Saccharomyces cerevisiae S288C: one gene and its partners. The gene in region 3 interacts genetically with the main gene of each other region. Each region holds a gene or a part of one and is shown on either strand. Other genes may lie near its edges. The genes, in order: UGA3, EBS1 and NOP19.

Region 1 (3,762 bases), on a different chromosome or scaffold from region 3:
ATGGTTAATTAAATAATTACTTCTATGTCTCAACGTTAGCATTTCTACATTGTATAGGTATAAATTGTTTTTGAATCCGTACGTCCTACAAAAAAAAAAAAGAACATATATATGTTTGTGTGGTGAAACAATAATTTAAGACACCCAGGGGGCGGGGAAAGAAAATATATGCTGCTCAGGCAAAATTAATATTGTAATCTAATTCGTCAATCATGTGGACCAGGTCATGCTCACTGATGCCATCAGCCTCGTTTTGCCAAATTTTCCGTATCAATAATCTAGCATTTTGGAAATTGTAACATTTATATCGTTTTAAAATGTCGTCAAATTTGGCTTCCAAATCTATTTTTTTCTCCATATCTTCTACCTGAATGCATACACCGTAAATGAAAAGTGGGAAGCATAACGATCCTTCCAAAAAAGTTCCGATGACCTTGTCTAGCTTCGAGTCCAATTTGTTTCTCAGTATCTGTAGTTCCAGCGAATCTTTGTCAATCTTTAATAAAGTTAATTGAAAGAACATTAAGGTAGAAATTTTCATTATCTCGAATAGTTCTAAATAGTAAAATTTCTTTTCATCATCCAAATGTTCCAGCGCCATAAGCGAAGGTTGTAATTTATAAATCTCGACTTGCAAACTCAAAATTTTATCGCCATGCTCTAGCATTTCTTCCTGTTCCATAGTCTGCAAAAACCTCGTCAAATTTGTGACTTGTCCCAATAGTAGTAAAATAGGCTTGTTGATGCCAATTAAAGGGTCTATTTCCTCAATTGGCGAGTCTATTGACTCAATAAAGTTGGCTGAGCTGGGTAAAGAGTTCTGATCCCTTTGGAAGAATTTCTCGTATTGTTCGATCGGGAAGGACGTTGTATTGAAATTCAAAATATCATGATATATAAAATTCACAATCAGCCAGTACTTAACAACGGAATTGAAATTGGGGAAGATTATCCTCTCCTCTAGGGAGGGTTCTTCTGTAGTAGTGGTTAGTATCCGTGAGACATCCTTGCCCACATGGTTTTCGATCAAATTTTTTCCTATATTCAATAATATCTTCCAAAATTTCACATCACCCTGACATATCTCTGAACCACATAAGATTAGGATTTGTGCTAGTGAATATAGAAACCCCAGTTTAGCACAGGCACTTGAGCCCTCGTTTGTCTTTAGATGCGATAACGACATGTATGTATACTTGTTCGCCAAGTTGACAAATATTTCATCCTTTCGCAGCTCATTTGATGATGATATAGACAAATGATTAGCTGACCAAGCAAGAATAGCAAACAATATACCATCATTCTCGTGGGCCATTGGCAAGAAAATGTTCAGATAGTAGTTCTGGTTCATGGGCGCGATGGAAATTATGTTTGCAAGGTGAGACCTGTAGTAGTTGTACAGCTGCAATCCCATAGAGTCCAGCTTCTGAGAAATGCAATCTTCCAGCGGTTTTGACAAATATACCTGGTTATCCTGTTCGTCGCTACCGACCCGTCGAGTACGGGTGGCCACGGCCGCTTTCTGAGCACTGTCAGGAGCATGCTTTCTTTTCTTGCTGATCAACTGGTGCTGTATATCTGCCTTTATTTTTTTCAAAGACTGCTTATCAACAGATTCTGATATATAGATACAGGGAAAACTTAATCGACGACAGTCCCGGCACACAGGTTTATCTTCAGAGCATCTCTTCTTTCTGATCTTGCAAGTAATACACCCATGCTTCGAATATTTCAATTTCAGCTTCTCCACGCCATAATTCATACCTCACTTTAAAAAACTTTGTTTTCTTGGCATCCATACATGAACAATAACAACAATTCTATATCATCTTAAGTAAGACTCTTATTGTAATTTCTTTTTCTTTGATGACTCAGACCCTGGTAGCCCTACCGTTCAACCCTATACAGCGCAAATTTGGTCCTAATACACTTCGGTTTTAATGCGTCAATCCGATTGGCTCCGATAAGCTTTTGCACATTTTTCAAGTCATATGTCACGACGAACGTGATGCCCGCAAAACGTAAAAAAAAGAAGCAATAAATTGCCCAAAAAAAAAATATAAACTGCTTTTCTTAGTCATTCATAAGTTCTGATGGTCTTCCTTATCTTATTGTATTTTTCGTCCTATTGTTTCATTTCTTACCAAATTAATCAATTCTTATATCTTACTTGATAACACACCAAACTAATCGTCTCCACATCATAGGAAGATAGGAAATTGCTATCTCAGTCCTATACTACGCAGACGGATACTCTCAGTTGCTCTTTCTTCCCCTTCTTTTAGCTCATTGAGGTAGTGATTAACGTTTAACTTATTTATTTATTTTTCTGCTTCAGTTTTTTTTTATTTATTTTTGTCTTTCTACTCTCTCTTTTTTCTTAATCTATTTGCCATTTATTTATTTTGAAGAACTAGAAAAAGAATTAGAAAAGAAAGCATGCCAGTGTTGAAATCAGACAATTTCGATCCATTGGAAGAAGCTTACGAAGGTGGGACAATTCAAAACTATAACGATGAACACCATCTTCATAAATCTTGGGCAAATGTGATTCCGGACAAACGAGGACTTTACGACCCTGATTATGAACATGACGCTTGTGGTGTCGGTTTCGTAGCAAATAAGCATGGTGAACAGTCTCACAAGATTGTTACTGACGCTAGATATCTTTTAGTGAATATGACACATCGTGGTGCCGTCTCATCTGATGGGAACGGTGACGGTGCCGGTATTCTGCTAGGTATTCCTCACGAATTTATGAAAAGAGAATTCAAGTTAGATCTTGATCTAGACATACCTGAGATGGGCAAATACGCCGTAGGTAACGTCTTCTTCAAGAAGAACGAAAAAAATAACAAGAAAAATTTAATTAAGTGTCAGAAGATTTTCGAGGATTTAGCTGCATCCTTCAACTTATCCGTATTAGGTTGGAGAAACGTCCCCGTAGATTCTACTATTTTAGGAGACGTTGCATTATCTCGTGAACCTACTATTCTACAGCCATTATTGGTTCCATTGTATGATGAAAAACAACCGGAGTTTAATGAAACTAAATTTAGAACTCAATTGTATCTTTTAAGGAAGGAGGCCTCTCTTCAAATAGGACTGGAAAACTGGTTCTATGTTTGTTCCCTAAACAATACCACCATTGTTTACAAGGGTCAATTGACGCCAGCTCAAGTGTATAACTACTATCCCGACTTGACTAATGCGCATTTCAAATCCCACATGGCGTTGGTCCATTCAAGATTTTCCACTAATACTTTCCCCTCTTGGGATAGAGCTCAACCTTTACGTTGGCTAGCTCATAATGGTGAAATTAACACCTTAAGAGGTAACAAGAATTGGATGCGCTCCAGAGAAGGTGTGATGAATTCAGCAACTTTCAAAGATGAGTTAGACAAACTATACCCAATTATCGAAGAAGGTGGTTCTGATTCAGCTGCATTGGATAACGTTTTAGAACTATTGACTATTAATGGCACATTATCTCTACCTGAAGCTGTTATGATGATGGTTCCTGAAGCGTATCATAAGGATATGGATTCTGACCTAAAAGCATGGTACGACTGGGCTGCATGTCTGATGGAACCTTGGGATGGTCCAGCTTTGTTAACTTTCACTGATGGACGTTACTGTGGTGCTATATTGGATAGAAATGGTTTAAGACCTTGTCGTTATTACATCACTAGTGATGACAGAGTTATCTGTGCTTCAGAGGTAGGTGTCATTCCTATCGAAAATTCATTGGTTGTTCAAAAA
Region 2 (3,762 bases), on a different chromosome or scaffold from region 3:
TAGTTCGATTTTTAACAGTTCTACATTTACTTTGTTCCCCGTTATTGTACCGCTGGGCTTAACATTGAACGTATCTGGGGCCATAGGTACAGACGAACCACTATAACCCATAGTTGGAGAAAAAGAATCCAAAGAGCTACTTCTCATTTGTCTCTCCAAATCCGCCATGGATATTGAGCCATTAGTGGTCGAAGGTTTGTTTTTTCTTTGTAACTTGGCCTTTTCATTGGATTGCTTCGATGTCTTCATACTATTTTTAACGGTCTCCTTAAATCCAATTTTCTTATTAAAGATATAACGTGATTTATTATCTGACCATTCTACTCCGCAGTTGTTGTTCTGCAATAATTGCGAACTTATATTCACAACAGCCTGCAACCTTAACAGCATTTCAGATGATGCCGATAACTTGTCGCATAATGGCGGATTACCAATTAATCTATCGAGACTATGATCCATTTCAAGAATTTTTTCATAATCGTCAAAATCAGATAGTTGAAAGTTAACGAATGATAAACCCTTCACCATTAAGTCTTCTTCGAACCAGTATGTCCTTTTAGGAATATGTTCTGTTATACTAAAAGAAGGACTTGGTTTTTTTTTCACAATATCATTTATCAAGTATGCCAAGGCATTAACAAACTCTAGATTACTTTGTGAATATTGAAGAACCATGGGATTTGCTTTTATCCAACAATTGATAATTCTTACCATACCTAGAATTTCTGAAACCTCAGGATTTTCGCTCCATGATTCCTTAACGATATCATTTAAAATGTGAGCAATATACTTGAATGCAAAATTTAGGTAATCCAATTCATTGCTACGTAAATCCTTCAAGGTTTTTGCACTTACATCGGAACGCCTTTTTAATAATAGATGGAACCCACCAATTGTAATGATCAAATTGTGAAAGATGGTCTTAATATTATTCAGGTATCTTGCTGACATCGTCTCGTAGAGTGCATTTTCCAAATGCCTTAACTTGATACCGTTATTTAATTGGTTAGGTTTTGTATCATCTCTCCAACTGGTAGGTGACCAAACAGACCCAAAAAGGCCCAGGAAATAAAATTCTAGTATCTCTTTAGCAGGTGTCCTGGGTCCTTTAGATTCTTGTAAGTAAGTGTTCATGATAGTAGTATGCAAGCTACGATTTAATGAACTTTTATTGTCCACCATTAATGCCCCAAAATTTTTGATTGAAACAGGGCTTGGCATCTTCGTCATCATACCTTTAACAAAATTGAATACTGCAATCCCCAAATTTCCTGTTTGAAGGAATATCGCTCCTGCTTGCGAATACGTCTCACCAGCACTTGGTAACACCAACGAAGCTAAACGAAAGAAGTCCAGAGATTTTTTAAAATTGGATATGCTGTATTTATTGGAAATTTCTTCGAGGAGAGTTTTATAACGATACGCTGTTCCTAAGAATAAGAGACAGCGATGGAAAAGCGTTGGGATGAGATGTGCGAGTGGGCTACTACTATTAAATGTCTTCACCGCAAGAATGTCTCCAACATTAGTGGTATTTTCGATGTCACTTAACTTTAAGTCTTGGATAATCCTTTTCGGCAAAAGTACAGATATATCATATTTCTTATAAACCGTGTTGATAACGTTGACATAGAAGTTTTGCACCGTTTTGAAGAATTTTAACATCTTCGAATTCATCTTTCTAAAGTCGATAAATTTGGTCTGCTGTTTTTTATTCTCCTTCTCAAAAAGAATATAATTCCTCCACATCTGAAACCATTTGAATATTGGATAGTGAACGCTTTCCCAAGAAAAATCTAAAATCGAAGAGATACTGCTCTGATCAAAAGAATCAAGATCAGCCGCAAAGGATTTCCCACATTGTGATTCTATAGATGTAAGGATTGCGGCATTCAATTTGGAATGAACAAATGCCAAGAACCCATTTAATAGCGCATAATCTTGAAATAATTGATTCGATTTTAATATGCTGTTTAATTGACTTTTTATACCATTAAAAGCGGTAGGAAGATCTTCTTTTTGGGTATTCGATGGTTCCATTTAATTGAAATATCAACTGTAAGCCAGTGCAATGAAACTGAGATATTTTCTTTGAATATATACGCCTGATGACGTACGTTTTAAATTGCAAATGATGCGGATTTTTGAGTTCCTAAAAGCCTTCTTTTTGATATATTAAGTGACTTTGTTAAATTCTTGTTTATAATCTTAGTTCGATGATGTATTTAATTGAATGATCTCTTTACATATATGATTCCTGAAGACACTTTTCATAGGAAAAAAACATTCAAAATATATGGAAAGAAGAAACACCAAATGTAGAGGATTCCCCCTTAATTTCCGAATTATGATACCGATTGGATGCTAATTGCTTTATCAACCTCTTCGGTAATTTGAGGTCAATGCTGGATGACATCTTTTCCTTCGTTAGAAGTATTTTTTTTCTTCCATTGTGATATTTCCCGTAAGACGTGATCAACACAAGCAGCCGCCAATAATTACGATAGGTACCGTTATGTATATGAAATCTTGTTTAAAAAATTAATATAAAAGGTATGCAGGACAAAGAATTGTCAATTTGCTATAGGCTGTAGCGGTAAAGAATTCGGGTTAGCTGAAATTGTGTTCATAGAAGTAGCCCGGCACCAACAAGTGGAATTTTGAGGCTCAACTTGTACCCACGCTTTAATCGACACATTTTCGAATATTTTTTCAACTCTTTTCTTGATAATTGTCGAATTCTCGCCGTCTACATACTGTACATGAATATAGCCCACCAAGCTCGGGTGTTCTTGTGAACCGTTTTTCTGATCATGATGATGCTCATGGCTATGATTCTCTGCATGAGAATGCGTGTGTGCATGTGAATGCCCGGAACTGCCTGACTCTGTCGGCCAAAATCTAGGAGTTGTATAACCTGTGATTCCTGGCGTCGTTGAAATCTGGTTTAGCGCACTCTTTACTAGATTATGCTTCTTGTCATCCAGTCTTAGTAAAATATTTGCGGAAGTAGATTTTAGCAGGGGCAGAGCGCTAAGTAAAATCAAGGAACCAATTAATAAAGAGGCGATCGGATCAAAAATTGGCCAGTGTGTTAACTTGATTAATAACGTCGAAATAACAACGCCAACAGAACCTAATGTATCTGCCAATATATGTAAAAAAATCCCCTTCATGTTTTCATTATCAGTACCACCATGATCATGTGCACCATGGTCGAAGGCAAACAAACCTACAAGGTTCACTAATAAGCCTAACGTAGCAACAACCAACAACTCATTTGTTGCATGAAGATGAATGGGGTTGAAAATTCTCTCAATTGCCTCCACAAAGATACCGCACACTATGCCGAGTAACAGAACACCATTGGTGAAACCTGCCAAGGTACCAAGATAATTTAGACCGAAAGGGAATTTATCACTTGCTGGTTTCTTGGTCAATACACCAGCAATTAGACCTAAGAGCAAAGATGTGCAATCTAAGGCCATATGCAACGAATCAGATAATAAGCCCAATGATTTGGAACGAAAGGAATATAAAAGTTGTACAAACATGAAAGCGGTATTCAACAATAAAAACGAAAAAATGGACCTGGTGTCCTTATTCAATGCCATTTGTTTGAACATACTTTCATTTTCGAGAGGCAATGAATCGGTTAGATGGGAATGGTGATGTGCATGATTATGGGAGTGCGAATCAGGTTGTTTGTTAGAGAAACTGGAAACATATTCTGCCACTACGACGAAAAGTAAACTTAACAAA
Region 3 (2,820 bases):
TTTGTTTTTATTTATTGCTTAATCAAACATTTACGCAGTATAATTGTTTAGGTTTGAAAAATCCATAAACGTATATAATGATACATATAGCTTCAAAAAACTGAAAGTAGAGAGAGTTGTAAGAATATATGAATATCCAACTATAAAAAATCTTGCGTAAGAATTTCAATAGTCGATATATTGTTTAGGTCCAAACACTTAAATATGCCTGTTTAACACGCGTTTGTAAAGTTCTAATTAATTCTTTTCCATACAGCGCACTACATGTCTTATTTTTTTTGTCTTTGCTCTCGAGTATTGAAAAGGATTGCGAAAAAAGCAAATAGTGGCTGGTCAAAAATTCTAGTGGAGCATTAAGCCTACTGAGGAAGGATCTGCATTGCTACATCTCATTTAATGTTATTCTAGCAACGTTAACGTACTCAGTACTTGCAGTATGCAATAATTGCCTTGGCTAGAATTCTCTTCTGTACGTATTCATTTGTTGACAAGCAAACATCATTACGCCCTACATAAAACAACAGACGAGGGAAGAAAGACGCATTTTTTGCTGCCCATAAGTGTTTAAGATTATTTACGTGCCTTCTTTTTTTTATCAAAAAGTAAACCAAATTTTTTTTTTGTGGACTTTTGCGGCATTGTCCCTGCATCTTCATCCTCTTCATCACTGGCACTATATGAGTTCGAAACGCTGCTTTTGCTATGCTCTTGTTTCTTCCTTAGTCCTTCCTTCTCGCCTTTCCTCATTTTTCTTTTAAGCGCAATCATGGCTTTCGTATCATCTTTAGTGATCCTGTACATATTATTTCGTTGCAACCCTGGGTCACTTCTTTTCTTTTTCTTTGCCAACGAACTTACCTTTTTATCACCCTCAATAAACTCACCAATCGTATGTATATCTTCTTTGGCGGAAGCGTCATCTTGTGTGCGGAAGTGTAGGCCCGATCCAATCTGCAAAACGGGAAGCTTGAAAAATGCCTTCTTACCATCCTCCAACTCCTTGTGATCTTTTAACTGTTTGTTACGCTCTGTATCATTGCTAATGCCGGTTTCATCTGATTCTTTCAGCCAGTCCAAAACTGCAGCAGTATTGTTACTGAAAGTAGACTGGAGTTTCGCTTGCAAGTTGAGCTTCTCTTGTAATTCTTTGGCCCTACTCATTCTGAACACTACCGAGGAAAGATAATACGGTATACTGTATCAACTGTAGATGTGAGAAGAGGATTTGTTTCAACATCTTATAAATCTTGAAATCTTTTTTATGCGTTAGTTTTTCCAATCTCATCGCTAGAAATTGCCCGCGTCGCAGGTCAATTACAGGCCGTCAAGAAGAAACAGCGGCCACTACGGTTACTTCCAATGCCTTTAAAGCAGGATCAAACATGCAATCATTATTGTCTTACTAAAAGGTTGATACATACATACTGTAACTAAAGCTGACGTTAGGAAATAAATATCTAAAACAAATGACAGCTATCGAACAGGCCAATTTAAGACGATTTTAGGTAAAAAAAATCCGGACCAAAGTGGCACGGCTTCTTTGTGTAAATGCCTTCCACTATTTTATTCAAGAGGTTGTAGGAAATGCCTCTCTTCAGATCTTCCAAACAATAACATTACATAACTGAACAGTGAAGGAGCATTCTGGTTTACTGTAAAAGTCTCCTCCTTGTCCCTCCTTGTTTTCCAATTAAGAAACTTTGTAGCGTCTAATTCATTGTAGTCCTGGTTCCTTGGCTTCGATCTTCTTTCAAAATACCAAAGCTTTTTTGAAAGGCAGTGTCTTAAAGATACTACGAATGTGGCTGCGTATCATATATGTATATGTATATATACAATTATATTCTATGTTTGAAAAGGTCGTTTTTCGTTCAGAACACTCGTATATCTTCGGCGGTTAGAAAAGATAGTGAAACTAAAGGAGGAGACTATAGAGACACTGCATTGTATTGAATAAACAAACAAGGCGACGACTCACTATTACAAAGTATTTTCATGGATGCAGCCCTAAATAAACCGTTGTATCTTATATCATTACGCTCAATAATCGTTAATGAAGAAGAAGGGCGGCTATTTTCGTAAATTACACTACAAACTTCAATTACATACGCAATTCTTGTCACATGCCAATGAGCACTATATCATATGCTACAAGCTCACATACACAAGGGTTATGTTTCCTTAGCGGCATATTTTTGAAAGTCAAAAAATGTGTACAACAGAGAGAAAGAGGAGGGCCGCAACAGCTTGAAGACAACAGATGAGAGCCAAGTTCGTATGTGGATTACGTCCGAAGGAATTGAACTTCCCAAGAGTAATGTGTACGGGACTGATCGAAATTCTCTCTTTTTCCTTAGAGCGTCTTTCTGCAGATCGCCACTACTATTCCTAGCGGAAGAAACAAAAGAACGAAAAAAAAAACACTAGCCTATGCAAAGGGGAATATAATCATATGGGAATACAAGGATTGTAGTACTTGCATATTGTTCCGGCCCAACCCATTTCAAGATCCAACTACTTCATGGTAGGAAGCACAGTTTTTACATTCCCGAGAAGCAGCGCCCGCTTATTGCCCCGATAGAAGCAAAAACACCGCAACTCGTGGTTACGGGGTAAGAAACCGAAAATTATTTAATCATCTACGGGGCTACGCTTTTACATAATCTCTAGAGTATTCTAGAGAATTGAGATGATTTATGTCTTTTCCCGGCTAACATGCAAGTAGAATGCGGATAAGCCTCATGGAGCGTGGTTGATTAATCGACACTCTCGGTATTCTCTTGTGTACGTACGATGTTTCTCCCGCTGATCCGATTACTA

Evidence for each region.
Region 1: mutations in NOP19 (region 3) and UGA3 together harm fitness more than expected from each alone (negative genetic interaction), as found in Saccharomyces cerevisiae (one large-scale study listed by BioGRID).
Region 2: mutations in NOP19 (region 3) and EBS1 together harm fitness less than expected from each alone (positive genetic interaction), as found in Saccharomyces cerevisiae (one large-scale study listed by BioGRID).

Annotation. Positions count from the first base shown.
Region 1 is NC_001136.10:154,318-158,079, reverse strand, and holds UGA3 (Uga3p), read right to left. Parts: upstream 1,763-3,762; coding exon 176-1,762; downstream 1-175. Other genes in the region: UGX2 (Ugx2p), read left to right, coding at 1-16; GLT1 (glutamate synthase (NADH)), read left to right, coding at 2,440-3,762. UniProt on the Saccharomyces cerevisiae protein: GABA-dependent positive regulation of genes required for catabolism of GABA (UGA4, UGA1, and UGA2).
Region 2 is NC_001136.10:860,332-864,093, reverse strand, and holds the start of EBS1 (Ebs1p), read right to left. Parts: upstream 2,041-3,762; coding exon 1-2,040. Other genes in the region: metal cation transporter MSC2, read right to left, coding at 2,574-3,762. UniProt on the Saccharomyces cerevisiae protein: Plays a role in nonsense-mediated mRNA decay (NMD). Recruits UPF1 to cytoplasmic mRNA decay bodies (P-bodies). Negative regulator of gene expression. Inhibits translation most likely through effects on eIF-4E (CDC33). Involved in telomere maintenance.
Region 3 is NC_001139.9:993,980-996,799, reverse strand, and holds NOP19 (Nop19p), read right to left. Parts: upstream 1,162-2,820; coding exon 571-1,161; downstream 1-570.